4 linked regions of the Anolis sagrei genome follow. The protein of the gene in region 1 interacts with the protein of each later gene in a pairwise test. Links are inferred from orthologs where the notes say so. Each region holds a gene or a part of one and is shown in the gene's direction. Other genes may lie near its edges.

Region 1 (7,945 bases):
CCTCCTCTATTTCTTCTTCTTCTTTCTTGCTTTCTTCTCTGCTTTGTACAAGGTTGAAAACTCATTTCTACCAACGACAAAGGTAGGGAAGGGTGAAGTACGGGATGAAGAAATCTTTTGCCTTCCGAACAAATGGACGAAACTCAACTCCGCTCGCTAAGTTAGGAAAATGGGAGAGGAGAAAGGGAGAAAGAGGAGGTTACTTGTTTGTTTACTTATTTATATATTTATTTATTTATGTATTTATTTATTTATTTATGTTCCTCTTTTCCCCCCCTTCTCTGTTTCTTTTTCCTCCCCAAACAAACGTAGCTCACAGAACTCTACTTTCAGCTTCAGAGGAGGCTGACCAACCATGTTTATTGTCATTGTTTTGATCTATCGACTGGGCTTGTTTTGATATATATCCTCCCCCCGGATGATTGTACTTAAACTTATTTTCAGGGCTGGGGGTGGGGGGTGTCTGGAAAGAAGGGGAAGAACATTCTGGAAGGATACAGTTCAGAGATAGGCATCTCAAGTGGAGACAATTGGGGAGGGGGGAATCCAGGAAGGTCGGAGGAGGAGGAAGAGAAGAAGAACGTGCAAATAGGGACATTGCGATCTAGGAGGAACCCACAAAGCATCTCTGGAACCGTATTGCTGACAGAAACCGGTTCACTCTGGAAATATAGACTCTGGTGAAAGCCGTACAGTCTCAAGTGACTTTGGAGAACTTTGTGGGATTCGGGGAAAGCTTTCACCAGTCGGGTGAGAAGATCCGAAGCAACGTTGGATGCCCAAAAGCGTCCTGTTCCTGCAAGGCTTCAAAACGAGCCACGAGTGGGATGTAGCAGCTTGAAAGGCTGCATCTGTCGGGGTCTAGTGTCCAAATGGAGGAAAGTAATATAGCCATGGCTTGAGATATATGACTGAAGACGAGCCAAGATTGGGATGCAGCAGCTCAGAAGGTCCATGCAATTCCAGGCTGCATCCATCGGAGTCTAAATGGAGGAAAGTAATATTGTCAAAGGCTTTCATGGCCAGAATCACTGGTTTGTTGTGTGTTTTCAGGGCTGTATGGCCTAGTTCCAGAAGAATTCTCTCCTGATGTTTCACCTGCATCTGTGACAGGCATCCTCAGAGGTTGTGAGGTCCTCACAACCTCTGAGGATGCCTGCCATAGATGAGCCATAGACCTCACAAGATGCAGGAGAAACATCAGGAGAGAATGCTTCTGGAACATGGCCATGCAGCCCAGAAAACACACAACAAACCAATATAGCTATAGCTTGACGATAATAATATACCTAGCGAAAAGGGCCAATGCAATTCTAGGCTGCATCAGTAAGGATTGAGTGTCCAGATACTCTGTAGACGAGGATACAGTGGAGCCATTGATTCGAATGGCACCGGAATATGAGGACAAATGGAGCCATGGATTTGAATGGCACCGGAATATGAGGACAGTCTCAATTCTTGGAGGTTTTTAAGCAGAGGCTGGATGGCCATCTGTCCGGAGGGATCAAACGGTGTCGTTTGTGGTAGAAGGGGGTTGGACTGGATGGCCTTTGGGGGCCTCTCCCATCAGGGACATTTCTTTCAGTCTTCCGAGCATTTGTTTATTCGTCGCCGTCTCTGCAAATGATAGCCAGTCGGAACAACAACAACGTTCTCTCTCTCTCTATCTATCTATCTCTCCTTCTTTTATTTCTCTCTCCTTTCTTCCGGCCGCGACTTCAGTTGTAGATTCCCATGAGCTGATTCAATTATAATAAAATATACAAGATCGATCGATTGTAATGGGATCTTTGTCGGGGCCGTGTCCTCTGTTTTTGGTGAGACACTCTGTCACTACGTTTGAAAACAGGGCGGTTGGATCGAATGTCCCATGACTGACAGGTCGGAAAGTACACATAGCTACAAAGGATAGACTGGATGGCCTTTGGGGTCCCTTCTAATCCATCTCAGTCTTGCTTTTTTGAAGGAAAATTAGAGTCCCGGCCAAGAATGTTCCCGCAGAGCCTGGACCTTCAGAAGGATGATGACCTCAGAGAAGAGGCAGCCGGTCCCTTTGGCGGACAGTGACTCACGGCCGGAGCAAGAGAGATCCCGCTCTCCGCTTCCCAAAAACACCAAGGATAGTCCCTCTGGTGCCCCGCTCTCTCCTCCTCTTTCCCCTCGCTCGGTCTGTGCCACGTTCTGCTTGGCACCTCCCAAAAGGTCTTTCAATCCTTGGAGGTGAACTGGTCTGCTCTGGACTGACATTTGGGCGAGCTCATGGGAGTCTCTTAGGCTGTCCTTCAACAGAGGTTGGGGGGGCATCTTTCGGGAGTGCTTTAAGTATAGGGCAGAATGGGGCTGGACTGGATGATCCTCAGGGAACCCTTCCAGCTCCATAATTCTATGCAATGGTCCCAACAATGGGTGGGATTTGGTGGTCTCTTCCTGCCTGGCGGAATGGGGCTGGACTAGATAACCCTCGGGGGTCCCTTCCATTTCTGTAATTCTCTGCAATGGTCCCAACAATGGGAGAGATTTGGTGGTCTCTTCTCATTTGTATACAATAGTCCCACGATGGCCATCTTTCAGGAATGATTTAGGTGTAGAGCATAATGAGACTGGACTAGATGACTCCCGGGGGTCCCTTCCAGCTCTGTAATTCTCTGCAATAGTTCCAACAATGGGAGGGATTTGGTGGTCTCTTCTTGCCCGGCAGAATAGGGGTGGACTGGATGACCCTCAGGGAACCCTTCCAGCTTTGTAATTCTATGCAATGGTCCCAGCAATGGGAGAGATTTGGTGGTCTCATTTGTATACAATGGTCCCACGATGGCCATCTTTCAGGGGTGCTTTAGGTGTAGAGTATAATGAGACTGGACTAGATGACTCCCGGGGGTCCCTTCCAGCTCTGGAATTCTCTGCAATAGTTCCAACAATGGGAGGGATTTGGTGGTCTCTTCCTGCCTGGCGGAATGGGGCTGGACTGGATGACCCTCGAGGGTCCCTTCCAGCTCTGGAATTCTATGCAATGGTTCCAACAGTGGGAGGGATCTGGTGGTCTCTTCTTCTTCGGCAGAATGAGGCTGGATTGGATGACCCTCAGGGGTCCCCTCCAGGTCTGTAATCCTATGCAGTGGTCCCACAGTGGCCATCTTTTGGGAGGGCTTTAGTGGTCTCTTCACATTGTATGCAATGGTCCCATAATGACCATATTTCAAGAGTACTTAGAGCATAATGGGGCTGGACTGGATGACCCTTGGGGTCCCTTCCAGATCTGTAATTCTATGCAATTGTCCCCACAATGGCCATCTTTGGGAATGAGGTGGGACTAGATGACCCTTGGGGATCCCTTCCAGATATGTAATTCTATGCAATGGTTCCAACAATGGGAGGGATTTGGTGGTCTCTTCCTGCCTGGCTGAATGGGGCTGGACTACATGCCCCTCGAGGGTCCCTTCCAGCTTTGGAATCCTATGCAATAGTCCAACAGTGGCCATCTTTTGGTCTCTTCTCATTGTATGCAATGGTCCCAACGCCAAGAGTGCTTTAGGTGTAGAGCATAATGGGGCTGGACTGGATGACCCTTGGGGGTCCCTTCCAAATATGTAATTCTATGCAATGGTCTCCACAATGGCCATCTTTGGGAGTGCTTTAGGTGTAGGCATTTTGAGGCTGGACTAGATGACCCTCAGGGGTTCCCTCCAGCTCTATAATTCTATGCAACGGTCCCAACAATTGGTGGGATTTGGTGGTCTCTTCCTGCCTAGCGGAATGGGGCTGGACTACATGACCCTCAAGGGTCCCTTCCAGCTCTGGAATCCCATGCAATGGTCCAATGGTGGTCATCTTTTGGAAGGCTTTAGTGGTCTCTTCTCATTGTATGCAATGATCCCACAATGACCATCCTTCGGGAGTACTTTAGGTGTAGAGCTGAATGGGGCTGGACTGGATGACCCTTGGGGGCCCCTTCCAGAGATGTAATTCTATGCAATGGTCCCACAATGGACATCTTTCGGGAGTGCTTTAGTTGTAGGGCTGAAACAGGCTGGGCTAGATGACCCTCAGGGTCCCTTCAGCTCTGTAATGCTATGCACAGTGGCCATCGTTTGGGAGTGCTTTCGTGGTCTCTTCTCATTGTATGCAATGGTCCCACAATGGCCATCTTTTGAGAGTGCTTTAGGTGTAGAGCTGAATCGGGCTGGACTGGATGACCCTTGGGAGTCCCTTCCAGCTCTGGAATTCTATGCAATGGTCCCAACAATGGCCATCTTTTGGGAAGGATTTGGTGGTCTCCTCTCATTGTATGCAGTGGCTGCACAATGGCCATCTTTTGGGAAGGATTTGGTGGTCTCCTCTCATTGTATGCAGTGGCTGCACATTGGCCATCTTTTGGGAAGGATTTGGTGGTCTCTTCTCATTGTATGCAGTGGCTGCACAATGGCCATCTTTTGGGAAGGATTTGGTGGTCTCTTCCCATTGTATGCAGTGGTTGCACATTGGCCATCTTTTGGGAAGGCTTTAGTGGTCTCTTCTCATTGTATGCAATGGTCGTCTTTTAGGGGAGCATAATGGGGGTGGACTGGATGACCCTTGGGGGACCCTTCCAGCTCTGTAATTCTAAGCAATGGTCCCAACAATGGCCATCTTTTGGGAAGGATTTGGTGGTCTCTTCCCATTGTATGCAATGATCCCACAACGTCCATCTTTTCAGAGCGCTTTGTTGTATGCAATGGTCCTGCAATGTCCATCTTTTCAGGATGGGGCTGGACTAGATGGCCCTCGGGGTCCCCGTTCCCGCTCCGTATGCCAGGGCCCGTCCCGCAGTCCAAAAAAGGCCTTTCCCTCCCGCTCCATTCCTGGGAGCGCCATTTCCATTAATAGACAAGGAGACATTCTTCTCCCAAAATAGCCCTTTGCCTCTGGATGAGAAGGGCCAGCTGGCCCGGCCGGACAAAGGAGCGTTGGCCATGTCGGAGCGCCAGGTGCCCTTCACCTTCCTCCGCAGCCCCAGCTGGGAGCCCTTCCGGGACTGGTACCGAGGCGGCCGCCTCTTCGACCAGGCCTTCGGGATGCCCATGGTCCCCGATGACTGGTATAGGTGGCCCGCCGGCAGCAGCAGCGGATGGCCGGGCTACGTCCGCCCCATGATCCAGAGCCCCGAGCCGGCCACTCCGGCCAGCGCTGGCCCTCCGGGGGCCCATCCGGCCTACAGCCGGGCCCTCAGCCGGCAGCTCAGCAGCGGCGTCTCCGAGATCCGGCAGACCCCCGAAGGGTGGAAGGTGGCCCTCGACGTCAACCACTTCGCCCCTGAGGAGCTCCTGGTCAAGACCAAGGACGGCGTGGTGGAGATCACCGGTAAGGATGGAAGGAAAGGGGCCCAGGAGGGCATCCAGCCCCACCCTCGGCCAAGGCAGTGATTGAATAGGGGGCTGGTGGGTCAGGGAGTCCTAGAGTTAGAAGGGGAGCCAAGGGCCCCCCAGTCCAACCTTCTGTATGTATGTATATGTGCCGATCTTCCCATCCATCCATCTTAGAATCCTGAAGTTGGAAGGGACTTCAAGGGTCATCCAGTCCAACTACCTGTATGTGTATATCTTCCCATCTATCTATCTTCCCATGTATCTATCACCCTATCTACCTACCCACCCATCCCTCTATCCCTCTATCCCTCTATCCCTCTATCCCTCTATCTATCTATCTATCTATCTATCTATCTATCTCTATCTATCCATCCATCCATTCATCCATCCATCCATCCATCCATCCATCCATCCATCCATCCATCCATCGCTCTATCTATCTATTGGTCTATCTATTGATCCATTGATCCATTGATCCATCAATACATCAATCCATCCACCATCTATCTATCTATCTATCTATCTATCTCTATCTATCCATCCATCCATTCATCCATCCATCCATCCATCCATCCATCCATCGCTCTATCTATCTATTGGTCTATCTATTGATCCATTGATCCATTGATCCATCAATACATCAATCCATCCACCATCTATCTATCTATCTATCTATCTATCTATCTATCTATCTATCTATCAATCAATCAAAGAATCCTAGTTGGAAGGAACCCCAAGGGCCATCCAGTCCAACTTTGTATGTGTATGTTTGTATCTTCGCATGTATCTATCATCCTATCTATCTACTTATCTATCTACCTACCCACTGACCCACCCAACCACTTTATCTATCCCTCTGTCTATCCCTCTATCCATCCATCCATTCATCCATCTATCTAGCCATCCATCCATCCATCCATCCATCCACCTACCTACGTACCCACTGACCCACCTGCCACTTATCTATTTATCTGTCTATCCATCCACCCATCCATCATAAAATCGTGACGTTGGAAGAGACTCCAAGGGCCATCCAGTCCAACCTTCTGCATCTAGATATCTTTCTATCCATCCACCTAGCTACTAACCTATCTATCCAACCCTCTGTATGTACGTATACATCTATCTATCTATCTATCTATCTAGCCATCCATCTATCATAGAATCCAACTAGAGTCCAACTACTTGTATGTGTATATCTTCCCATCTATCTTCTTATGTATCTATCATCCTATCTACCTACTCACCCATCCCTCTATCTATCTGTCTGTCTATCCCTCCATCCATCCATCTATCTATCTATCTGTCTGTCTGTCTGTCTGTCCGTCTATCCATCTATCCATCCATCCATTCATCTATCTGTTTATCCCTCTATCTGTCTATCTGTCCGTCCATCCGTCCATCCATCCATCCATCCCTCTGTCTATCTATCTATCTATCTATCTATCTATCTATCTATGTCTATTTATCTATCTATGAGAGAGGCAAACTGACACATACATACATACAGGGAATTGGATGGGATGGCCCTTAGGGTCTCTTCCAATGCTGGGATGGATGGATGGATGGATGGATGGATAGATAGATAGATAGATAGATAGATAGATAGATAGATAGGGTAGTCTTTGGGGTCTTTTCAAACATTAGGTTTTGATTGATTGATTGATAAATTATGTTTAATAGTAATACTAGTATAGATTTATTTGCATCCTGTTTTTACTATGTTTTATATTATTTTATTTTGTAGTATTATAAATTATTGTTACTTTACATTATAATTGCTTTATACGATTGCGATTGCATTAATACAGTCACAATATAACAACAATAAACTAAAGCAACAATAATATAAAAATATATAATAATATAATGTTATATTATAAAATAATATATATTAAAATAATATGTAATAAGCCAATAATAAAATGTAAGAATAGGTCTGTGTCCAAATGTGGGGTTTGTTTACGTTCTCTCCTTCCGTCTCTTTCAGGAAAACACGAAGAACGACAAGATGAGCATGGATTTATTTCCAGGTGTTTCACCAGGAAATACACGTAAGTTGCTGGGCGGGTTTCTGGTCAGTTCCTTCCCAATGGAGGGACCCGTTTCCTTTGATCCTTTTACCTGGGGAGTTGAAACAACAACAGGTCCCATCATCCCCAGACAGTGCAGAAGGAGGCCCATCCTGAGCCCTGCAATGCCTTAATGGCATGTCTCTTTGCTGCCATCCAGTGGCCAACTCGGGAATTGCACCCTTTTAGTGCAGCCTAGCAGTAGAGGGCTCCTGCTGAGTCCACTTTGTCGCCATCCTGTGGCCAGATGGAAAATGGCACCTTTTGTTATATTTTCTCCAAATAGGGAAATAGGGAGGAAACTCAGTTCTTGTGGGTTTTTTCGGGCTATATGGCCATGTTCTAGAGGCATTTCTCCTGACGTTTCGCCTGCATCTATGGCAAGCATCCTCAACTGCTGTGCTCTCCCTCCCTCTTGGTCTTTCCTTCCTTCTTCTGTCCCTCCCCTCTCCTTCTTCCATCCCTTCCTTCCTTCTTTTCCTCTGTCCATCGTTCCTTCCTCTCTTACTTCCCTTCCTTCTTCTATCCCTT
Region 2 (6,861 bases), on another chromosome or scaffold:
TCGCGATTTCGCACACCATTTTGCAGATAAAGTCGCCCAGATACGCCTCGAGCTCGACTCCAATTCCATCGCAGTGCCAGAAGAGGTGACGGAGGCACCTGCTTGTCTAACTTTATGGGATTCTTTTAGGCTTGTTCTTCCTGAAACCGTGGAGGAGATCCTTGGGGCTGTGAGAGCGACCACCTCATCCCTGGACCCATGCCCATCCTGGCTCATTAAATCAGCCAGAGGGGGGTTGCTTGACTGGTTTGTACCGATTATCAATGCATCGTTGGAGCAAGGAATTTTTCCATCTAACCTGAAGCAGGCCGTGGTTCGCCCACTTATCAAAAAAGCTTCCCTTGACTCCTCGGTGCTGAATAACTACAGGCCGATCTCCAACCTCCCCTTTTTGGGTAAGGTGCTGGAGAGGGTGGTCGCCTCTCAGCTCCAGGGTTTCCTAGACGATACCAACTACCTAGATCAGTCACAGTCTGGTTTCAGGCCTGGTCATGGCACCGAGACAGCCTTGGTCGCCTTGGTGGATGACCTCCACAGAGAGCTGGACAGGGGGAGTGTGACTCTGCTGGTTCTCTTGGACATCTCAGCGGCTTTCGATACCATCGATCATGGTATCCTTCTGGGTCGTCTCTCCGGGATGGGCCTTGGGGGCACGGTTCTGTCGTGGCTCCAGTCCTTCCTGGAGGGACGAACTCAGATGGTGAAGCTGGGAGATGCCTGCTCTGACCCCTGGCCTTTGACCTGTGGGGTCCCGCAAGGCTCTATTTTGTCTCCCATGCTTTTTAACATCTACATGAAACCGCTGGGAGAGGTCATCCGGGGTTTTGGAGTTGGGTGCCATCTCTACGCAGATGACACGCAACTCTACTACTCTTTTCCACCTAATTCCAAGGAGGCTTCTCAGGTGCTAGGTGAGTGCCTGGCCGCTGTGTCGATCTGGATGAGGAAGAACAAGCTGAAGATCAATCCCGACAAGACAGAGGTCCTCCTGGTCGATCGTAAACCGGATCGGGGTATAGGGTGGTTACCTGTGTTGGACGGGGTTACACTCCCCCTGAAGCCACAGGTCCGCAGTTTGGGTGTCCTCTTGGATTCCTCGCTTACACTTGAGGCTCAGGTGTCGGCGGTATCCGGGAGGGCCTTTGCGCAACTGAGACTTGTGCGCCAACTGCGACCATACCTCGTGAAGGCTGATCTGGCCGGGGTGGTCCACGCCTTGGTCACCTCTAGAATGGATTACTGCAATGCGCTCTACGTGGGGCTGCCCTTGAAGACGGCTCGGAAACTTCAATTGGTCCAGCGGGCAGCAGCCAGGATGCTAACCGGGGCTCATTATCAAGAGAGGTCTACCCCTCTGTTTAAGGAGCTCCACTGGCTGCCTTTTATTTTCCGAGCCCAATTCAAGGTGCAGGTGCTTACCTACAAAGCCCTAAACGGTTCGGGACCACCCTACCTGCGTGACCGCATCACCATCTACGAACCCACACGCTCGTTACGGTCATCCGGAGAGGCCCTGCTCGTGATCCCACCCACGTCGCAAGCGCGCTTGGTGGGGACGCGGGACAGGGCCTTTTCTGTGGCGGCCCCCAGACTTTGGAACGCCCTCCCAAAAGATCTCAGACAGGCCCCCACTCTAGCCGTTTTCAGAAGGAATTTAAAAACTTGGCTGTTCCGTTGTGCCTTCCCAGACTAGAAATCCCCACCTAAGTCCTAGTAGCACCTTAGCATAATAAATTGTCGCTGCACACTGCACTTTCAACCTTACGTGCCTCCTACCATTTCAGCACTTTTAACCCTTGTACCCCATTGCGCCGGCCGAACCTGTTTTAATAATGTCCTGACGTTCTGCCATTGTCGTTATTTGCTTATTTGCTTACTGTTGATTTGCTTAGTTATTGTGGAGTTATGATATTTTGCTTACTGTTTGATTTGCTTTGTTATTGTGATGTTACGTCCTTTATTGTATTGTGTTTTGAGGCTTCGGCCTGTGTAAGCCGCATCGAGTCCTTCGGGAGATGCTAGCGGGGTACAAATAAAGTTAATAATTAATAATAATAATAAATAATTTGTATTTCTAGGTGCAAAGATTACTGCAGACGCAGACTGCAGCCAGGAAATCAGGAGATGCTTACTTCTTGGGAGGAGAGCAATGTCCAATCTCGATAAAATTGTGAAGAGTAGAGACATCACACTGGCAATGAAGGTCTGCATAGTTAAAGCAATGGTATTCCCCATAGTCACCTATGGATGTGAGAGCTGGACCTTAGGAAAGCGTGAAGGAAGATAGATGCTTTTGAACTGTGCTGTTGGGGGAAAGTTCTGAGAGTGCCTTGGACCGTGAGAAGATCCAACCAGTCCATACTTCAGGAAATAAAGCCAGACTGCTCATTGGAGGGAAGAATAGTAGAGGCCAAGATGAAGTACTTTGGCCACATCATGAGAAGAAAGGAAAGCTTAGAGAAGATAATGATGCTGGGGAAAATTTATTTATTTATTTATTTAGCAATTTTGTATACCGGTCTTCTCCCCTCTATCAGGGGACTTGGGCCGATTTCCAACAATAAAATCACAAAACAATAATTAAAAACATCATATAACATATTCAATTAAAACGTTATAACAGCAAAATGCAATCACATAATAACAATGGTCAGTCGTCATAGTGAATTTGTTGTCCATCATTCATCATCATCTATCCAATCACAGAAATATTGATTCACTCATCGAAAGCCAAACCCCATAGCCAGGTTTTCACCCGTTTTCTGGATGACAGAATGGAGGGGGCAGTTCTGAACTCCAGTGGGAGAGAGTTCCAGAGTCGAGGGGCCACCACCGAGAAGTCCCTCGTCCCTCGTCCCGACCAGACGCGCCTGAGAGGCTGGTGGGACCGAGAACAGGGCCCCTCCAGACGATCTTAACAACCTAGATGGTTCATAGGGGAGAATACGTTCGGACAGGTAAACAGGGCCGGAGTCGTTTAGGGCTTTATAGGTTAACACCAGCACTTTGAATTGTGCTCGGAAGCTAATTGGCAGCCAGTGGAGCTGGCGCAACAGGAGTAGTATGCTCCCTGTACCCTGCTCGTGTTAGCATTCTCGCTGCCGCACTATGGACTAGTTGGAGCTTCCAGGCAGTCTTCACAGGCAACCCCACGTAGAGAGCATTGCAGTAATCTAAACGGGATGTAACCAAAGCGTGGACCACCGTGGAAGGAAAAAGGAAGAGGGGCCGACCAAGGGCAAGATGGATGGATGGCATCCTTGAAGTGACTGGCTTGACTCTGAAGGAGCTGGGGGTAGTGACAGCTGACAGGGAGCTCTGGCGTGGACTGGTCCATGAGGTCACGAAGAGTTGGAAACGACAGAACGAATGAACAACAATAATAAATAAGGAGCGAACCAAATAGTTGTATTGCATTTTAAAAACACAAAACCCCCCACAAAGTTTGCAAACTTGGCATTCTATTATTTATTATGGTCTGCTGTGGACTCATCTTGTTGTGTCTCAAATAATAACAAATAATAGAATGCCAAGTGTGCGAACTTTGTGGGGGTTTTGTGTGTGTGTGTGTTTTTAAAATGCAATTCAACTGTTTGGTTCGCTCCTGGCACGATAAATGACCAAATCAGCTCCGGCCTGACTTTGGGTCGCCGTCCCCCTTCATGGGCGCTCAAGAGGGAAGAGGGAGGCTTGGCTTCTCCTTGAGCGGCGAGGCGGGGGGCGGTCCCGGGAGGCGCGCTCCGTCATAATGGAGCGGAGAGCGGCGGGTGGCGAGTAATAGCCGCCGTGACAATAATCCTAGTGGCGGGAGCGTGACTCAAGGAGGAGCTGTGAGGCGAGGCGCCCAGAAGTTTCCAGCCGGGCAGCTGCTGCTCCTCCTCCCCTGTCTCCTCCTCCTCCTCTTCTCCTCCTCTGCTATTTCCAGACCCTTCCACCCCCTTCGCCGTCCCCTCCCTCTCTCTCCCTCCGAGCCATAAAGGGGCTTGGCGGGTGGGGCGGCCTCGCTTGCTTGCCCAGTGCATGGCTGGCGAAGGAGGAGGAGGCGCCGCAGTCGCAGCAGCAGCAGAAGAGGCAGCAGAAGAGGCAGAGCTAGGAGCAGGGACAGCCGCTCTCGCAACAGTAGCAGCAGCAGCACCACCAGCAGCAGTAGGATGAGCGCGGCGGCGCAGTCCCCGGCGTTGCGGCCGACCGAGGCCGGTGGGGCGGGCGAGCGGGAGCCGCTACCGCCCGGTTGGGAGGTGAAAATCGACCCGCAGACCGGCTGGCCCTTCTTCGTGGACCACAACAGCCGCACCACCACCTGGAGCGACCCCAGGCTGCCGCAGCAGGGCGACCACCGCAAGGTACACACACAAACCTCCCCCCAGGCCGGCTTCCCGTCCTTATTAAAGACGCGAAGAGGCTCCGATGAGGACTCCAAGGGCAAGGGGTTTCGCCCCAGACTCGCCTTGAGTGGGGAAACTCCACCAGAGGGAAAGGGAGGCGGGGAAACAGGCTCAGAGAAACTTCCTTTGGGAAATGTCATTTTGTAGCGACTTCTTCTCAACCCAAACATGACCCCAGAGTCTCCCCCTGGCATACAACTCCTCCCCAACTTGCTTTGACCTTTCTATGTCTTGAATGGAATTAGTTGTGACATTTGGGAAAGAACCTTGCTTAGTACATTGTAATTACTTGCCTTCTTTGCCTTTCATGGCTGGCCTTTCACTTACTTGACAGGTTTTTCGCTCACTACTTCATCACACTAGAGAATGAATCCACTTTAAATCCAGTTTCTGCCTCCTGCAGAATTCTGGGGTTTGTAGTTTAGTGAGGCTGTTAAAGAGTCCCCCCAAACTACCAATCCCATAATTCTTCAGGAGGAAGCAACCAGATTTAAAGTGGATTCATTCTCTAGTGTGATTAGGTCCTTACTTGTCTTTTTTACCTTTATAACTGGCTTTTCAGGGCCCTTCCACACCCCTATATCCCAGAATATCAAGGCAGAAAATCCCACAATATCTGCTTCAAATTGGAATATATGGCAGTGTGGACTTGGATAACCCACTTCAAAGCAGATATTTGTGGGATTTTCTGCCTTGATATCCTGGGATATAGGGCTGTGTGGAAGGGCCCTCCTCACTTGTCTTCTTTACCTTTATAACAGGCTTTTCAGGGCCCTTCCTCACAGCCATATATTCCAGAATATCAAGGCAGAAAATCCCACATTCCCTTCTTTGAACTGGAATATTTGAACTGCGTTATCTGAATCTACACACTCAGATAATGTGGGATTTTCTTCCTTGATATTCTGGGATATCAGGCTGTGTGGAAGGGCCCTCCTCACTTGTCTTCTTTACCTTTATAACAGGCCTTTCAGTTACTTTGCCTTTTGCTTACTTGATTTATTTACCTTTATGACAGGCCTTTCACTTCTCTTATTTGCCTTTATAACTGGCCTCTCAGGGCCCTTCCGCACAGCCCTATATCCCAGAATATCAAAGTAGAAAATCCCACATTCCCTGCTTTGAACTGGAATATATGGCGGTGTTGACTCAGATAACCCAGTTCAAAGCAGATATTGAATTTTCTGCCTTGATATCCTGGGATATAGGGCTGTGCGGAAGAGCCCTAAGTTACTTCTCTTCTTTGCCTTTCACTTACTTGATTTATTTACCTTTATGACAGGCCTTTCACTTCTCTTCTTTGCCTTTATAACTGGCCTTTCAGGGCCCTTCCACACAGCCCTATTATCCCAGAATATTAAGGCAGAAAATACCACAATATCTGCTTTGAACTGCGTTATCTGAATCTACAAACTCAGATAATGTTGGATTTTCTGCCTTGATATCCTGGGATATAAGGCTGTGTGGAAGGACCTTCAGTTACCTGATTTCTTTACCTTTGTGACAGGCCTTTCACTTCCTTGCCTTCATGACTTGCCTTTCACTTACTTGATTTATTTACCTTTATGAAAGATTTTTCAATTACTTGCCTTACTTTGCCTTCGAGGCTGGCCTTTCAGTTACTTCTCTTCTTTGCCTTTATGGCTGGCCTTTCAGTGACTCGCCTTTTCTTACCTTAATGGCTGGCTTTTTACTTCTTTTTTTTACTTTTTTTTTTTGGCCTTCATGGCTGGCCTTTCACTTACTTCTCTTCTCTGACTTCATGGCTGACCTTTTGCTTACTTGCCTTCTTTGCCTTCATAGCTGGCCTTTCAGTTACCTTAGTATCTTTACCTTTATGACAGGTTTTTCATTTCTTTGCCTTCATGCCTGACTTTTCAGTGACTTGCCCTTTTTTACCTTTATGGCAGGCCTTTCAGTTACTTCTTTGCCTTCATGGCTGGCCTCTCAGTGATTTGCCTTTTTTACCTTTATGGCAGGTCTTTCAGTTACTTTTTTGCCTTCATGGCCAGCCTCTCAGTGATTTGCCTTTTTTACCTTTATGGCTGGCTATTCAGTGTATTTACTTGCCTTCTTTGGAGGTAAAGGTGAAGGAGATTGAGGAGGGAGGACTAAACGTGGGGCAGTGATGTGTGTGTGTTTTGAGGGAACCCACTTCGGGCCCTTCTGGCCCTATATCCCAGGATCTGATCCCAGGTTTTCTGTTTATCTCACATTATCTGTCAGTGCGGACTCCTATAAGCTGGTTTAAAGCAGAAAACCTGGGATCAGATCCTGGGGTATAGGGCATTTATTTTTTGACCCCCAAAGTTGAGTGCCTGGGAGAAACATGACCCTGATTTCTCCTCACAGGTTTCAGAGAGTAGACCAAGATCCTTGAGGCAGACTTCGTGAGTTTGTACGTGAGGGGAGTGTGTGCCTATGGCCCAAAGTATCTTTGTGTGTGCAAAGCTTTGTTCACTCCCTTCTCTGTGAC
Region 3 (7,305 bases), on another chromosome or scaffold:
GTGAGGTCTGTTGGAAGTAGGAAAAATGGTCAATAAAACATTAAGTATTAAAAAACTCAAAAATTACAACAGCAAAACAACAGAGGGGAAACCTACAGGCACATAAAATCACTCTCAACAAGAGATCCCCCCCAGGCGCTTCCAGGCCACTGAATGCAAACCAAGGTGATCAGGTGAAACATTACCCTGGTCATTCCACAGATATATAAACCCATTTTTCCTACTTCCAACATACCTCACTACCTCTGAGGATGCTTGCCATAGATGCAGGCAAAACATCAGGAGAAAAATTGCCTCCAGAACATGGCCATATAGCCCGGGAAAACTTACAACAACCCAGTGATCCCGACCATGAAAGCCTTTGACAATACAATACATGTATACATTGTTTTGTCTTTTGGCTTTATGCTTTCTAGACTTTGTGACTGACTTTTTATAATGTTTTATTGACCATCTTAGCAACTTGGGACTGTTTTCAGGAAACACAAATCTCTGATGGGTTTGCTCTTAATGCTGCCATAGCATCATTGTCTTCTCTAAGCTTTCCTTCCTTCTCATGATGTGGCCAAAGTACTTCAGATTGGCTTCTACTATTCTTCCCTCCAGTGAGCAGTTAGGCTTTCTTTCCTGAAGTATGGACTAGTTGGATCTTCTCGCTGTCCAAGGCACTCTCAGAACTTTCCTCCAGCACCACAGTTCAAAAGCATCTATCAATTGCAAAATAACATTGTCTTTCCTCTTCCTTTCCAGATTGTTACAAAAGATAATTACAGCTGGTATACAACTGGTATGTTTGTTGAGGAGACAGGAAAGCCTAGAGAAGATAATTATGCTGGGGAAAGTGGAAGGTAAAAGGAAGAGGGGCCGACCAAGGGCAAGATGGATGGATGGCATCCTTGAAGTGACTGGACTGATCTTGAAGGAGCTGGGGGTGGTGACGGTCGACAGGGAGCTCTGGCATGGGCTGGTCCATGAGGTCACGAAGAGTCGGAGACGACTGAACAAATGAACAACAACGTTTGTTGACTAGTTATGTTACGGTTGACGCCGGTTTAATTGCTGGTTGAACCATTATCCCCTTCTTTCTTTTCTCCTTCTTCCTTTATATTATATTGTTGCATCCCAGATCAAGAAACGAGACCATAAGATTAAATCCATCACACTGGACTGTAGGAAAAGCAATCCTTGTTTATTGATGAAAAATTGGTTACAAAAGAAAGGTAAATGCAAAGTCAAAAAGCCACAGAAAAAACACAGCAGTCAGTAGAATCTCTGAACTTGAGCAAAATTTCAAAAGCCACAATACAAGAACCAGGAACCTGTTAGCCTTTTACTGACCATGAATTTGATAACTAGAAGCCTCTGGGATTACTGGCCATGGAACACAGGAATTCTGCCAAGGCACAGCCACAGTCCCAAACGTTGCTTGATCTAAAGAGGCACCCGGCAGGAGGCCCCTTAAACCAAAGAAGCTATTCTTTGAAACGCCCCTTGACTTTGAAGCCTGGGCCTGTTTCTCCTGTAAACGATTTGACCTTCGTAGAAACTGTGAAACATTTCTGTCTCTAACTATCTGTTCTCTTCGGTCCTCATTAAAAACCCCAGGTGGAGAGATATCACGGCTAGCTTCCAAAACATTTTCCTCCAGCTGTTGAGTTTCATTTTCATCGCCGCTGACCTCAACATCAACAACAGATTCCACACTGTCAGGGTCAGGGAGAGCTTGCTCAGTTGGAAAAACTATCAGAGAATCTGGTTCACACAGATCAGGATCAGGCTGAACCCCAACATATATATTATATGTCGAAGGCTTTCATGGCCGGAATCCATGGGTTGTTGTAGGTTTTTCCGGGCTATATGGCCATGTTCTGGAGGCAATTTTTCTCCTGATGTTTCGCCTGAGGATGCTTGCCATAGATGCAGGCAAAACATCAGGAGAAAAATTGCCTGCAGAACATGGCCATATATTTATTTACTTATTATTATTTACTTTGCTTATATACCGCTGTATCTCAAGCCCGAAGGCGACTCACAGCGGTTCACAAACAGTAAAAACAGTAGAAACAGCAGTGGTTCCATACAACATATAACAATTGACTTAACACATTATCCATAAATTACCAATAAGCAATTACAATGCACAATTATTACAAAAAACAACCGTACCCAATCTTCTCATCATCCAAGCGTAGTACAGATTCGTCGTCCATTGTTCCATTCCTATGTTCCATTACCAGATTGCACTAAATTATATAGCCCGGAAAATTATATAAATTATATAGCCCGGAAAAACCTACAACAACCCATATATATTATATGCTTCTCTGGAGACTAGGACGCGAAACAATGGCTTCAAACTACAAGAGAGGAGATTCCATCTGAACATGAGGAAGAACTTCCTGACGGTGAGAGCCGTTTACTAGTGGAACTCTCTGCCCCGGAGTGTGGTGGAGGCTCCTTCTTTGGAAGCTTTTAAACATAGGCTGGATGGCCATCTGTCAGAGGTGATTTGAATGCAATATTCCTGCTTCTTGGCAGGACTGGATGGCCCATGAGGTCTCTTCCAACTCTTTGATTCTATGATATTGTATTGCAATATAATATTATTATCAATATATATGTATACAATATATTATATTACTACTTCGTGTTGTTTTATGGTAAAGTGCTGTGTAGATTTAATGGCACCCCATAAATGGAAGAGCAGCAGCCATAATTCCCTTCAGGCCACTCATTCTTTCATCTTTCCTGCCATCCTAAACTGCGCAGGCGCAGTAGGGAGCGGGAATGATGTAATAACAATAATTGCCTCAGCGAAACACTTCGCCCACATCTCCCTCCATTCCATTTCCCCCTCCCACCCAACATCCGGGCTCTTTCCCTCGCGCTGCACCAAAGCCAGCTGCAAAACCCCTTACAGCGGTTACCATAGAGCGCGAGGGGAGGGGGGCGGGAGGAGGATCAGCAGCACACGGGAGCGCGCTCGCGTGCCTACGTGCAATCAGAGGGATTGGCGGAAGCATTGCGCATGCGCTGACGTCAACCTCAAATGGCGAGAGTGCATAACACGGGAGCGCGCCGCCATTCTTACTACGAGCGATGGCTGTCTCCTTTCTGCGCACGCGTGCTCGGATTGACGCTCCCCTCCAGTCCTTTCTGCGCGTGCGCGAACTTCTCTGGCAGGACAGAGCGAGGGGGAAGGGATTCTTTTACGCATGCGCACATGTCCGAGCTCAGAGGAAAAGCTCGCGAAGTGAGCTTTAGAAGGGAGGGAGAGAGGCTTTCTGCGCATGCGCGAACTTCTCTGGCAGGACAGAGCGAGGGGGAAGGGATTCTTTTACGCATGCGCACATGCCCAAGCTCAGAGGAAAGTCTCGCAAAGTGAGCTTTTATAGAAGGGAGGGAGAGAGAGGCGGAGAGGCATTCGGCGCATGCGTACATATCCAACCTCAGAGGCGAGGCTTGCAAAGCTGTACTTTAAAGGAGAGAAAGAGCAGAGGGAGAGAGGGGTACTCCTTTGCGCATGCGTACACGTATAGGAGAGAGGCGCATGCGCATACGAGGCGAGCGGTTTAATAGGAGAGATGCACTCCTTTGCGCATGCGCGCATGCCAAGCCTCAAAGGCGAGGCGAGCTGCTCTGGTGTAATAGAAATGAGGAGAGGAAGGGAGATTTACTTCGCGCATGCGCATAAGAGGCGAGCGGTTTAATAGGGAGAGATGTACTCCTTTGCGCATGCGTACATGCCAAGCCTCAGAGGAGAGGCGAGCTGCTCTGGTGTAATAGAAATGAGGGGAGAGAGATGTACTCGTTCGCGCATGCGCATACGTTCAGCCTCAGAAGAGAGGCCTGCAAAGCCGTGCTTTAGAGAAGGGAGAAAGAAGGGTACTCCGCGCATGCGCACATGTCAAGGCTCTGGTTTAATAGGAGAGAGAGAGAGAGAGAAGGGTACTTTGCGCATGCGCACTTGTCAAGGCTCTGGTTAATAGGAGGGAGAGAGAAGGGTACTCCGCGCATGCGCACATGTCAAGGTTCTGGTTTAATAGGAAGAGACCTACTTCTTTAGAGAAGGGAGAGAGAGAAAAAAAAGAGTATTCCGCGCATGCGCACATGCCAAGGCTGTGGTTTAATAGGAAGAGACCTAATTCACGCAAGCGCACAAGCTCTGCCTCTGAGGCGAGACCCGCAAAAGTGTGCTTTAGAGAAGGAGGAGGGAAGAGAGGAGGCACTCCTTCGCGCATGCGCACACGCCCACGCTCGGCGGGCGCGCGCTCCTCGCCCTGACGTCGTTCCTCTCCTCTCAACCGTCACTCGCGCGCCCCCTGCTCTCCCCTTCTGCGCGTGCGCAGAAGGCTCTTTTCCCTCCCTCTTTCCCCCCGCCCCTCGCTGGCTTGGTTGCCTGAGGGAATTGAGCGAAGGGAAGAGGAAAGGAAATAGGGTCGCGTGGGAGTGGGGCCTGGACGAGGAGGAGGAGGAGGAAGGGGGAGAGGGATCGGAGCGGCTGGAGAGATGAGCGCTCGGTTCCCCCTCAGGAGCCGCGAGGAGGAGCCGCTGTCGCCGTCGTCGTCGTCGAATGAACTGAGGCGAGGCCGGCTTGGCTCGGCCCGGCCCGGTCTGGCCTAGACCTCCTCGCCTCGCTTCGGGAAGGCGGAGTCGCGCCCTCTTCTCTCCTGCGGGGTGAGTGGATGCTGGGGGACTTCCAGAAGGAGAGGCCCGGGCCTGGAAGGAGGCCTGTTGTGCAGTTGGTATTGTGGCTCTCATCCTCATTGTCATCCCTGCCCTGCAAAGCCCTGACATTTTGCAAAAGGGGCGGAGAGGAGAGGACATGTTTATTATTATTAGTAGTAGTATCATCATTACTACTACTATCCTCATCCCCTACTTAGGGCTGGTGTTTTGATTGTGTGAAATGGACTGTGAGAATATAATAATGCTAATATATTACCATTATATATTAGAATTATTAGCATTATGGTAAAAGGGGCGGAGGGGAGAGGACATGTTTATTATTATTAGTAGTAGTATCATTACTACTACTATCCTCATCCCCTACTTAGGGCTGGTGTTTTGATTGTGGGGAATGGACTGTGAGAATGTAATAATGCTAATATATTATATATAATATTATATATATATATATATATATATATATATTATAATATAATATATTATATAATATATAATATTATTTATTATATATAAGACATGGGCAAACTTCGGCCCTCCAGGTGTTTGGACTTCAACTCCCACAATTCCTAACAATATTATATATATATATATATATATATTATATTATATATAACAGACATGGGCAAACTTCGGCTCTCTAGGTGTTTTGGACATCAACTCTCACAATTCAGGAATTGTTGGCGTTTTGATTGTGGGAATGGACTGTGAGAATGTAATAATGCTAATATATTATATATAATATTAATAATATTGTAACATTATATGTTATATATAAGACATGGGCAAACTTCGGCCCCCTAGGTGTTTTGGACTTATATATATGCTAATATATTACATATAATATTAAAAATATAACATATATTATATATAAGACATGGGCAAACTTCAGCCCAGGCTACCGGCTGTTATTATTAGTAGTAGTATTATCATCATTACTACTACTATCCTAATCCCCTTCTTACGGCTGGAGTTTTGATTGTGGAGAATGGACTGTGAGAATGTAATAATGCAAATATATTATATATAATATTAATAATATTGTAACATTATATGTTATATATAAGACATGGGCAAACTTCGGCCCTCCAGGTGTTTTGGACTTCAAGTCTCACAATTCAGGAATTGTTGGCATTTTGATTGTGGGGGATGGACTGTGAGAATGTAATAATGCTAATATATTATATATAATAATATTAATAATATTGTAACATTATATGTTATATATAAGACATGGGCAAACTTCGGCCCTCTAGGTGTTTTGGACTTATATATATGCTAATATATTACATGTAATATTAAAAATATAACATTGTATATTATATATAACACATGGGCAAACTTCGGCCCTCCAGGTGTTTTGGACTTCAACTCTCACAATGGAATTGTGGGAGTTGGAGTCCAAAACATCTGGAGGGCCGAAGTTTGCCCATGTCTGTTATATATACTACAACTTAAGATATTATATTATTAGTATAATATATGGTGGAGGCTCCTTCTTTGGAAGCTTTTAAACAGAGGCTGGATGGCCATCTGTCAAGGGTGATTTGAATGCAGTATTCCTGCTTCTTGGCAGGGGGTTGGACTGGATGGCCCATGAGGTCTCTTCCAACTCTTTGATTCTATGATTCTAGTAGTATTGACATCATTACTACTACTATCCTCATCTCCTACTTAGGGTTGGCGTTTTGATTGTGGAGAATGGACTGTGAAAATGTTGTTGTTGTTGTTTTTAAATTGTTTTTAAATTTTGTTAGATTTTAGCCTGTTCTTGTAAGCTCCGAGCCCCAGGGGAGTGGCGGCATATAAGTTTGAATTATAAATAAATAAATAATGCTAATATATTATATATAATATTAAAAATGTAACATTATATCTCATATATAAGACATGGGCAAACTTAGGCTCTCTGGGTGTTTTGGACTTCAACTCTCACAATTCCTAACAGCCAGTAGGCTGTTAGGAATTGTGGGAGTTGGAGTCCAAAACACCTGGAGGACCGAAGTTTGCCCATGTCTGTTATATATACTACAACTTAAGATATTATATTATTTGTATTATCATCATTACTACTACTATCTTCATCCCCTACTTAGGGTTGGTGTTTTGATTGTGGAGAATGGACTGTGAGAATGTAATAATGCTAATATATTATATATAATATTAATAATGTTGTAACAGTATTATCTATTTATATATATATAAATGCTCTGTGCATAATGAGTACCTTAAAAACAAAAGAACAAATGAACGAAATCACACCAAATTTGGCAAGAAAACGTCTCACAACACAAGGAGTGACCATCCCTCAAAAATTATGATTTTGTCATTTGGGAGTTGTAGTTGCTGGGATTTATAGTTTACCCTTGAGTTTGGGAGTTGTAGTTCACCTACATCCAGAGAGCACTGTGGACTCAAACAATGATGGATCTGGACCAAACTTGGCACGAGCACTCATTACACCCAAATATGATCACAGATGGAGTTTGCGGGAAATAGACCTTGACATTTGGGAGTTGTAGTCACTGTGATTCACAGTTCACCTACAATCAAAGAGCGTTCTGAACCCCACGAATGACAGACTCGGGGCAAACTTCCCACACTGAACCCCCATGACCA
Region 4 (7,257 bases), on another chromosome or scaffold:
AGGAGGAAATGCAATGGATCTTATTACTACAATATGATGTCCTACAGGTGAACAAGTGAACGGGTGAGTGGGGGATGGGCAATTTGCCACTACTGGTCACTACTCACCTTCAACATCAAGCCACACATACTAAAAATCATTCCCAAAAGATTCATGTAGTCAGGTGTAGGGTCTTCCAGGGTTGGGTTGTTCTCTGTGGATGGAGGCTTGTATCTACAAATGAAATTATGGAGTGGGGGGAGAAAGCATTAAATCAGGATGGAAAATAAAATATTAACATTATCTGCAATAACGTTGAACTAAAGACCAAGACACCAATAGCACATTCTCTGCTTATAATAAGATTGTATAACATATGTTTGTTTGTATGTGTATGGATGGATGGATAAAATTGCCACATTACACTCATTTCTTATTTATTTATTTACTTCATTTCTACCCCACTTTTCTTGACACCAAAGGGGACTCAAGACAGCTTACAGATCTGGTAAAAATTCAATGCCACACAGCTAAGCAACAAAACACATCTCATCAAAATATAACTGTAACTTACCAACAGCTCCTGTACTTTAGTTCTGCCCTGTGCCCTATAGCCCTGGCATTTTTATGCCAAATGACATTACTCTTCCAGTCCTAACTTCTATTGGATTTTGCACTTTCCCTTAGCCCTATCCAGAAACTATTGCAGAAACTCTTAGCCCTCTGAGATTAGTATTTTTACTGATCGGCCTAGGGATTGCTTTTATGATGTTGTGCTGTGTTATTGTGATGTGTTTTATTTTGTTTCTGATATTTTGATATTGTTTTTGACTTTACTTACTGCACTATGTTTTAATCTGTGTTTTTTTCAGGCTTGCCCCTTGTAATCTGCCCCGAGTCCCTTTAGGGAGATGGAGGCAGGGTATAAACATAAAGTTGCTATTATTATTATCATCATCATCATCATCATCATCATCATCATCATCGTCGTCATTATCATCATCATCAGAATCTAATTATATAAGCAATTAAAACACATATCAATCAACAGATTAAAAACCATATACGTAAAATATAGAATCATGATCTCATAATTTATACTAATATTTATATGATTAATGAATGTTAACACAAATTGTTCACATGCAAACTCTTTGAAACTGTATTTTACAGAAAGTTAGCTACTTTACTTAACTGGAATGTTGTTTTCATAAAAAGCCAATAAAGGTGAACATGCCAGAGGCTGAACAGCCATCTGTCAGGATTACAGGAGCTCCTGGTGGTGCAATGGGTTAAACTCTTGTGTCAGCAGGACTGCTAACCAAAAGATCAGCGGTTCAAATCCGGAGACCAGGGTGAGCTCCCATATGTCAGCTCCAGCTTCCCATCCAGGGACATGAGAGAAGCCTCCCACAGGATGATAAAACTTCCAGGCATACCCTGGGCAGTGTCCTTGCAGGTGGCCAGTTCTCTCACACCACAAGCGACTTGCAGTTTCTCAAGTTGCTCCTGACATGAAAAAAAAGGATGACTGTATGACATCTTGCACTGAAGAGTCCACATTGAGGAACGGGTTGGGCAAGATAAGGGTGGGCACCTGCTGCCCCAGATGTCACTGAACAATCAACTTAATTCAATGCAGCCAGTAGTAAGTAGCATCTAAACACCAAGCGATCCTGAGCTGCCCATCTCAGAACTGAGTAATTCCATTCTTTCATTTCTATGAAGGCCTCTCCTGTACATCACATCAGCAACAGCCTGCTGCTACGCTACAAGTTTAGCATGGACAGATCTAATCTATCCTGAAGGGCAAATCTCCCAATTTTACAGGGTGTTTCAAAAACTATGGACCCAATTGCAAGGCAGTATATTCCAGGATGGCAACATGTTACAATCACACAAAAAGTTACAAATGGCAATGAGTCATCAATTGTTACTAACCATTTTGAACCAGAAACAAATGTAAAAAAATAATAACTGAAAATGGAGAATATCTCATTAGGCCTGGTGTTGCGGGGTCACTATCTCATGGATGACTGGGGCTAGTGCTGGGAGAGGCATCTAGCAGTTTTATTTATCGTGTTAGAAGAAAATTGAGAATACAGTTATAATGTATAAAAAACCACTAACAAAGTTAAAAACTTGTCATTATGCTAAAATTCCTTTGACCAGAGTGCCTCTAGTGTCGCTGGAAGAAGGTCCTCCATTGTGAATGTATGCACTTGAAGTATAGTAAAGATGAAGGTTTTCCCTAGACATTAAGTCTAGTCATGACTGACTCTGTAGGGTGGTGCTCATCTGCATTTATAAGCCAAAGAGCCGGTGATGTCCATAGATGCCTCCAAGGTCATGTAGTCGGCATGACTGCATGGACCGCAGTTGTTACCTTCCCGTGAGAGCGGTACCTATTAATTTACTCTTTTACATGTGTTTGAACTTTTTTTTTCATGTCAGGAGTGACTTGAGAAATTTTAAGCTGCATTTTACCTGTATTTGTTGTACGTATTTCGATAGTTCTTTGTTCTACATCACTCTTTTACCTAAGTCATACCCACCTTGAGCCACAAAGAGAGGCAAGTAACAAATACATTATTATTATTATTATGATTATTATTTGATACACAACAGGATTAGTACACAGCAAACAAATCACTGTGCTGGCTGTGTGTATGTGTGTGAGTGTGTCAGGAGCAACTTGAGAAACTGCAAGACCCTTCTGGTGTGAGAGAATTGGCTGTCTGCAAGGATGTTGCCCAGGGGACGCTCAGATGTTCTGATGTTTTACCATCCTTGTGGGAGGCTTCTCTCATGTCCCTGAATGGGAAGATAAAGCTGACAGAGGGAGCTCACCCATGCTCTCTCTGGATTTGAACCTCCAACCTGTCAGTGTTTAGTCCTGCCAGCACAAGGTTTTAACCCATTGTGCATCGAGGGGTTCCTGCTAGGTTTGAACTGCTAGGTTGGCAGATGTTGGGGCTAACAGTGGGAGCTTACCTTGCTCCCTGGATTTGAACCACCTTTCAGTCAGCAAGTTCAGCAACTCAGTGGTTTAACCCACTGTACCACCAGGGGCTCCACTTGCAATATGCAAGTATTAAGATAGAATGCCATCAAGATAGCAGAAGTTATTCATGACGTAATTAATCCCTTTGAAACTCTCTGCCCAACCTTTTTCAGGAGGTGAGTGTGTCATTCAGGGGTGGTTGGTGGTTGCAGAGAAACAGCCATTTCAAACCGGGTCCATCTTGCTTGTTTTGTTTTGTTTTTTGTCCTGTTAGGAGCCACTTCAGAAACTGCAAGTCGCTTCTAGTGTGAGAGTATTGGCTGTCTGTAATGACGTTGCTCAGGGGACAGATGTTTTGAAGCTTTTACCATCCTTGTAGGAGGCTTCTCTCCTGTCCCCGCATGAGGAGCTGAAGCTGACAGAGGGAGCTCATCCGTCCTCTCCTCGGATTCGAACCTGCGACCTGTCGGTCTTCAGTTCTGTCAGCACAGGGATTTAACCCACTGCGCTACTGGGGGCTCCTAACTTGCTGAAACACATTTATTATTTTGAAGCAGTTTCTCAAGCTCTGGCTGGCCGGAGGTTTTTGGACTTCGGCTCCCAGAGACTCCACTCATTGGCCCAAGTAGCTGAGGCTCCTGGGAGCCGAGGCTCACAACCTGGAGGGCGAGAGTGTGGGAATCAAGGCAGTTGAAAGCATTCCCGCGCGACAAGGCCAAGCGTCTCCTTCCCTCCTAGTTCCTGCCAGGCCTTGTGCCCGAGAGCACCCCCTGGGAAATGCGGGCCACGCTGCCTGGGGGCGGGGATGTCCTTCGGCCCTCGGGCTCGGCCCAGGCGCCCAACGTCCTTGCCGCTTTCCCTGGCGCCTCGCACTCTGCCCAGCGCCTCAGAGGGCCAGCTCTGCTTGGGTGGTAAAGGAGAGGCCGCGCGCGCCCAGGCGTTGCCATAGTGACCCTTCAGGCCTGCCGCGCGGAGGGGGCGGCGCGAGCCCCAGCGGCCCCTCCTAAGAGACTGAAACCCCTTTCGTGTCCCGGCGACCCCTGACCCCCACTATCTGACCTTAGGACGCGGTTGGGCCGCCGCGGGTCCGCCATGTTGTTGCTGGACATCCCACCCTCGCGGCCCGTCTCAGGGCTCCTCAGGGAAGGCGGGTTTCCTTTACCACTCCAGCTTCCGCTTCTCCTCACGGGGGAAGACTAAGGATGCCGCACCCCGAGTCCCGCGCATTTGTGTTCCGGTTAGGCGAGACAGGCTTCTCTTCCCCGGAGAGGCATCCTGGGAGACATTAAAGGCAGAACGGAGCGGACCCTGTGGAAATGGCAGGAGCTTTTCCGACTCGCTGCCTCCCCTCGAATTCAAAGGTAACTTGGAGTGGAGGAGGCGGCTTAAGAGGAAGAGTAACACAGACACACTTGAATCTCTTGCTGTGGCATTTTTTTTTATTTTTTAGAATATTTTTTTATTTTGAGAAAAAAACCCAGTTATATAGACATGTACTATACACTCCCCTCTCTTTTATTTACACTCACCCTTGTGCTCCTCTTCTCCAGAGCCATCTTTTCTTTTAAAGTTCCACCAAAAGTTCAGTTCTTCACTGGGAGGTAAATTCCCATTTTCTTTTTCCTTTTGCCTTTTCTAGAAATTTTCTCCAAATACTTTCAAAGTCATTTTTTTCACATAATCCTTTCTTTACTTTTAAGTTTGATGTTTGCATTTTAAATCAGTCAGGATTTAAAATGTGCAAAAGCTGGGTTGCATTTAAACATTAAAAAAACCAAGATTATGGCATCCGGATGATTGATAACTGGGAAATAGAGGGAGAAAACATGGGGGCAGTGACAGACTTTGTATTTCTGGGAATGAAGATTACTGCAGACGCAGACTGCAGCCAGGAAATCAGAAGACACTTACTTCTTGGGAGGAAAGCAATGAGCAATAAAATAGTGAGGAGTAGGGACATCACACTGGCAACAAAGATTTGCATAGTCAAAGCAATGGTATTCCCTGTAGTAACTTGGATGTGAGAGCTGGACCATAGGGAAGGCTGAGTGAAGGAAGGTAGACACTTTTGAACTGTGGTGCTGGAGGAAAGTTCTGAGAGTGCCTTGGACCACGAGAAGATCTAACTAGTCTATACTTCAGGAAATAAAGCCTGACTGCTCACTCCTCCTAAGGACAAAGATGAAGTACTTCAGCCACATAATGAGAAGACAGGAAAGCTTGGAGGAGACAATGATGCTGGTGAAAATGGAAGGGAAAAGGAAGAGGGGCCGACCAAGGGCAAGATGGATGGATGGTAGCCTTGAAGTGACTGGCTTGAGCTTGAAAGAGCTGGGGGTGGTGACAGCTGACAAGGAGCTCTGGCACGGGCTGGTCCATGAGGTCACAAAGAGCCAGAAGTGACTGAACGAAAAAACAACCAAAAAAAGTCTGTCTGTAGAGTAGCTGACAACTTAAATATAGATACAGGAGCAGCAGATGTTACACAGACAATCTACAGAAAAGTGAATAATTGATCATAATTGATGCTAAATGCAGGTGAAGCAAAGAAAGAAATTAGATTTGGATAAAAGCAGACTGTTAATGCTAGAAGAGTTGAAGATTCAAGAACTGATGAGATCAGTTACTTAAGTTTAAGGGACTAATGGACTCAGCCACTTAAAGTTGAAATAATTAAAATCATATTAAGGGCTAAGCATGAGAGATGTGCCAGTATGCCAAAGGACACTTGAAGGAAGGAACTCCATATACGGCTGTAGGCTGGCCATGTGTCAGAGGAAATGTGATTTATCAAAGGCTCTTTTGACAGTGCTTCTGATGTGATCCAAGGGTGAGGTATGGAGAAAGGGGGATTTAAATATGAACTTCATTATATTGTGTATGTGCATCTTTGTCTATCTTTTTTTTTAAAAAGATGCATCTGCCTGCAGGTATATTTTATAAAATTTTCTGCTTCAAAATTTTGTAATCAGAGTATTTATAAAAAGGCTCCAAAGGGGTATATTTCTAACGCTTCTCCCTCCTCTGAGTGAATTATGTGCAAATTACATAGTTTTGTAGTTTGAACTTTGCTAAAACAAAGGAGGAGAAAGAAACAATTTTTAAATAAGAAAGTGGGATAACAGGATTAATTGGGGCTGTCTCTGTCAAATCAGAATAGTTGCAGTGTGTGGGTAGGCTGTAAGAATGGCAGCAACTTAGGCAATTGGTGCTTACCTTTGTATGATGATCCAACTTTGTAATCAGAATGGATTCTCCATTTGTTTCACCATTGTGAGGAAGCTAGTTGTTTGAATAGTATGGCCCTTGGAAACTGATTTCTTTGCATTTGTTATTCTGCAACCAGGTGGTGTCACTCTGAAGAGAATAAATAACCAGAAGCAGAAGCAATCGAATCATATCAATCAGTTGGGGATATTCCTGGTGTCTGAGATCATGCTGTGACTGTAGCTGCAACATCAATAATAGAGGAGAATACGTTCTTGCATACCAGAAGTTACTTGTATTTGCCATGGCCTTTCCAGAGCCCAAGCCCAAAAAGCCTGAGCTTCCAAAGAAACTGTTTGCTACACTGGAATGTAAACAGGGAGCTGTCAGAGCAGTGAGATTCAATGGTGAGTGTGCCCTTTGTCCTTTAAAGTGGCATAATAAGGGAGCCATCCTTAAAATGGTATAAGAAAGGTACTTTGCATTTCAACCAAGAACCAAAAGTAGGAGACAGATATCCTGCTTTTAGCAGAATAGGCAAACAGCATGCCATTTTAAAAAGAAGAAAAGCTTAACATTTTCAATACTTCACTCAAAAGTAACTGAAGAGTGTAAAATGAAATGAAAAATACTTTGTGCAGGTAGCTGATAATGGACCATATTATCAACTCAAGTTAGATTTATACGATATGCATACTGACATCATTTTTACATTAATGTGATTTATATGTACTATTGTCTTTATTAGATGGAGAGCAACAGACTATTCTGTGTGGGGAAAGCATTATGCTTTGTATGCTCCTGTAGGATCCCAATGAAAATGTTTAGCTGATAGGGATGGAGAAATGAAAAGGCAATTTCCTAGTATGAAAATAACGTCTAGTATGTAATTGTAAGTCTTGTGTCATTTGTTAAATCAAGAAAACAAACACAATAAGATGAGGAATTGAGCTTTCTAGGGCAGAAATTTTGTGATTTTGGGGCAAATTGTGATGAAATATAACAGATTATTGTGTCTAGTGGACTGAACAAAGATCAATCAATTATGTTTCCTCTTTGTTTAATAT

The links.
Region 2: the proteins of HSPB1 (region 1) and BAG3 interact in binary tests that used the Homo sapiens proteins (3 or more experiments, as listed by UniProt). The link is inferred for Anolis sagrei from reciprocal best matches to the Homo sapiens genes HSPB1 and BAG3.
Region 3: the proteins of HSPB1 (region 1) and PPM1A interact in a two-hybrid assay, tested with the Homo sapiens proteins (2 studies listed by BioGRID and IntAct). The link is inferred for Anolis sagrei from reciprocal best matches to the Homo sapiens genes HSPB1 and PPM1A.
Region 4: the proteins of HSPB1 (region 1) and WDR83 interact in binary tests that used the Homo sapiens proteins (3 or more experiments, as listed by UniProt). The link is inferred for Anolis sagrei from reciprocal best matches to the Homo sapiens genes HSPB1 and WDR83.

What each region holds. Positions count from the first base shown.
Region 1 is NC_090031.1:32,940,585-32,948,529, reverse strand, and holds the start of HSPB1 (heat shock protein beta-1), read left to right. Parts: upstream 1-4,924; 5' UTR 4,925-4,949; coding exon 4,950-5,337; intron 5,338-7,332; coding exon 7,333-7,396; intron 7,397-7,945. UniProt on the Homo sapiens protein: Small heat shock protein which functions as a molecular chaperone probably maintaining denatured proteins in a folding-competent state. Plays a role in stress resistance and actin organization.
Region 2 is NC_090023.1:202,041,421-202,048,281, reverse strand, and holds the start of BAG3 (BAG family molecular chaperone regulator 3), read left to right. Parts: upstream 1-3,849; 5' UTR 3,850-4,151; coding exon 4,152-4,343; intron 4,344-6,861. UniProt on the Homo sapiens protein: Co-chaperone and adapter protein that connects different classes of molecular chaperones including heat shock proteins 70 (HSP70s), e.g. HSPA1A/HSP70 or HSPA8/HSC70, and small heat shock proteins (sHSPs), e.g. HSPB8.
Region 3 is NC_090021.1:333,092,357-333,099,661, reverse strand, and holds the start of PPM1A (protein phosphatase 1A), read left to right. Parts: upstream 1-4,298; 5' UTR 4,299-4,677; intron 4,678-7,305. UniProt on the Homo sapiens protein: Enzyme with a broad specificity. Negatively regulates TGF-beta signaling through dephosphorylating SMAD2 and SMAD3, resulting in their dissociation from SMAD4, nuclear export of the SMADs and termination of the TGF-beta-mediated signaling.
Region 4 is NC_090022.1:111,887,614-111,894,870, reverse strand, and holds the start of WDR83 (WD repeat domain-containing protein 83), read left to right. Parts: upstream 1-4,257; 5' UTR 4,258-4,344; intron 4,345-4,533; 5' UTR 4,534-4,584; intron 4,585-6,329; 5' UTR 6,330-6,494; coding exon 6,495-6,597; intron 6,598-7,257. Other genes in the region: WDR83OS (PAT complex subunit Asterix), read right to left, coding at 108-213, 4,043-4,092. UniProt on the Homo sapiens protein: Molecular scaffold protein for various multimeric protein complexes. Acts as a module in the assembly of a multicomponent scaffold for the ERK pathway, linking ERK responses to specific agonists.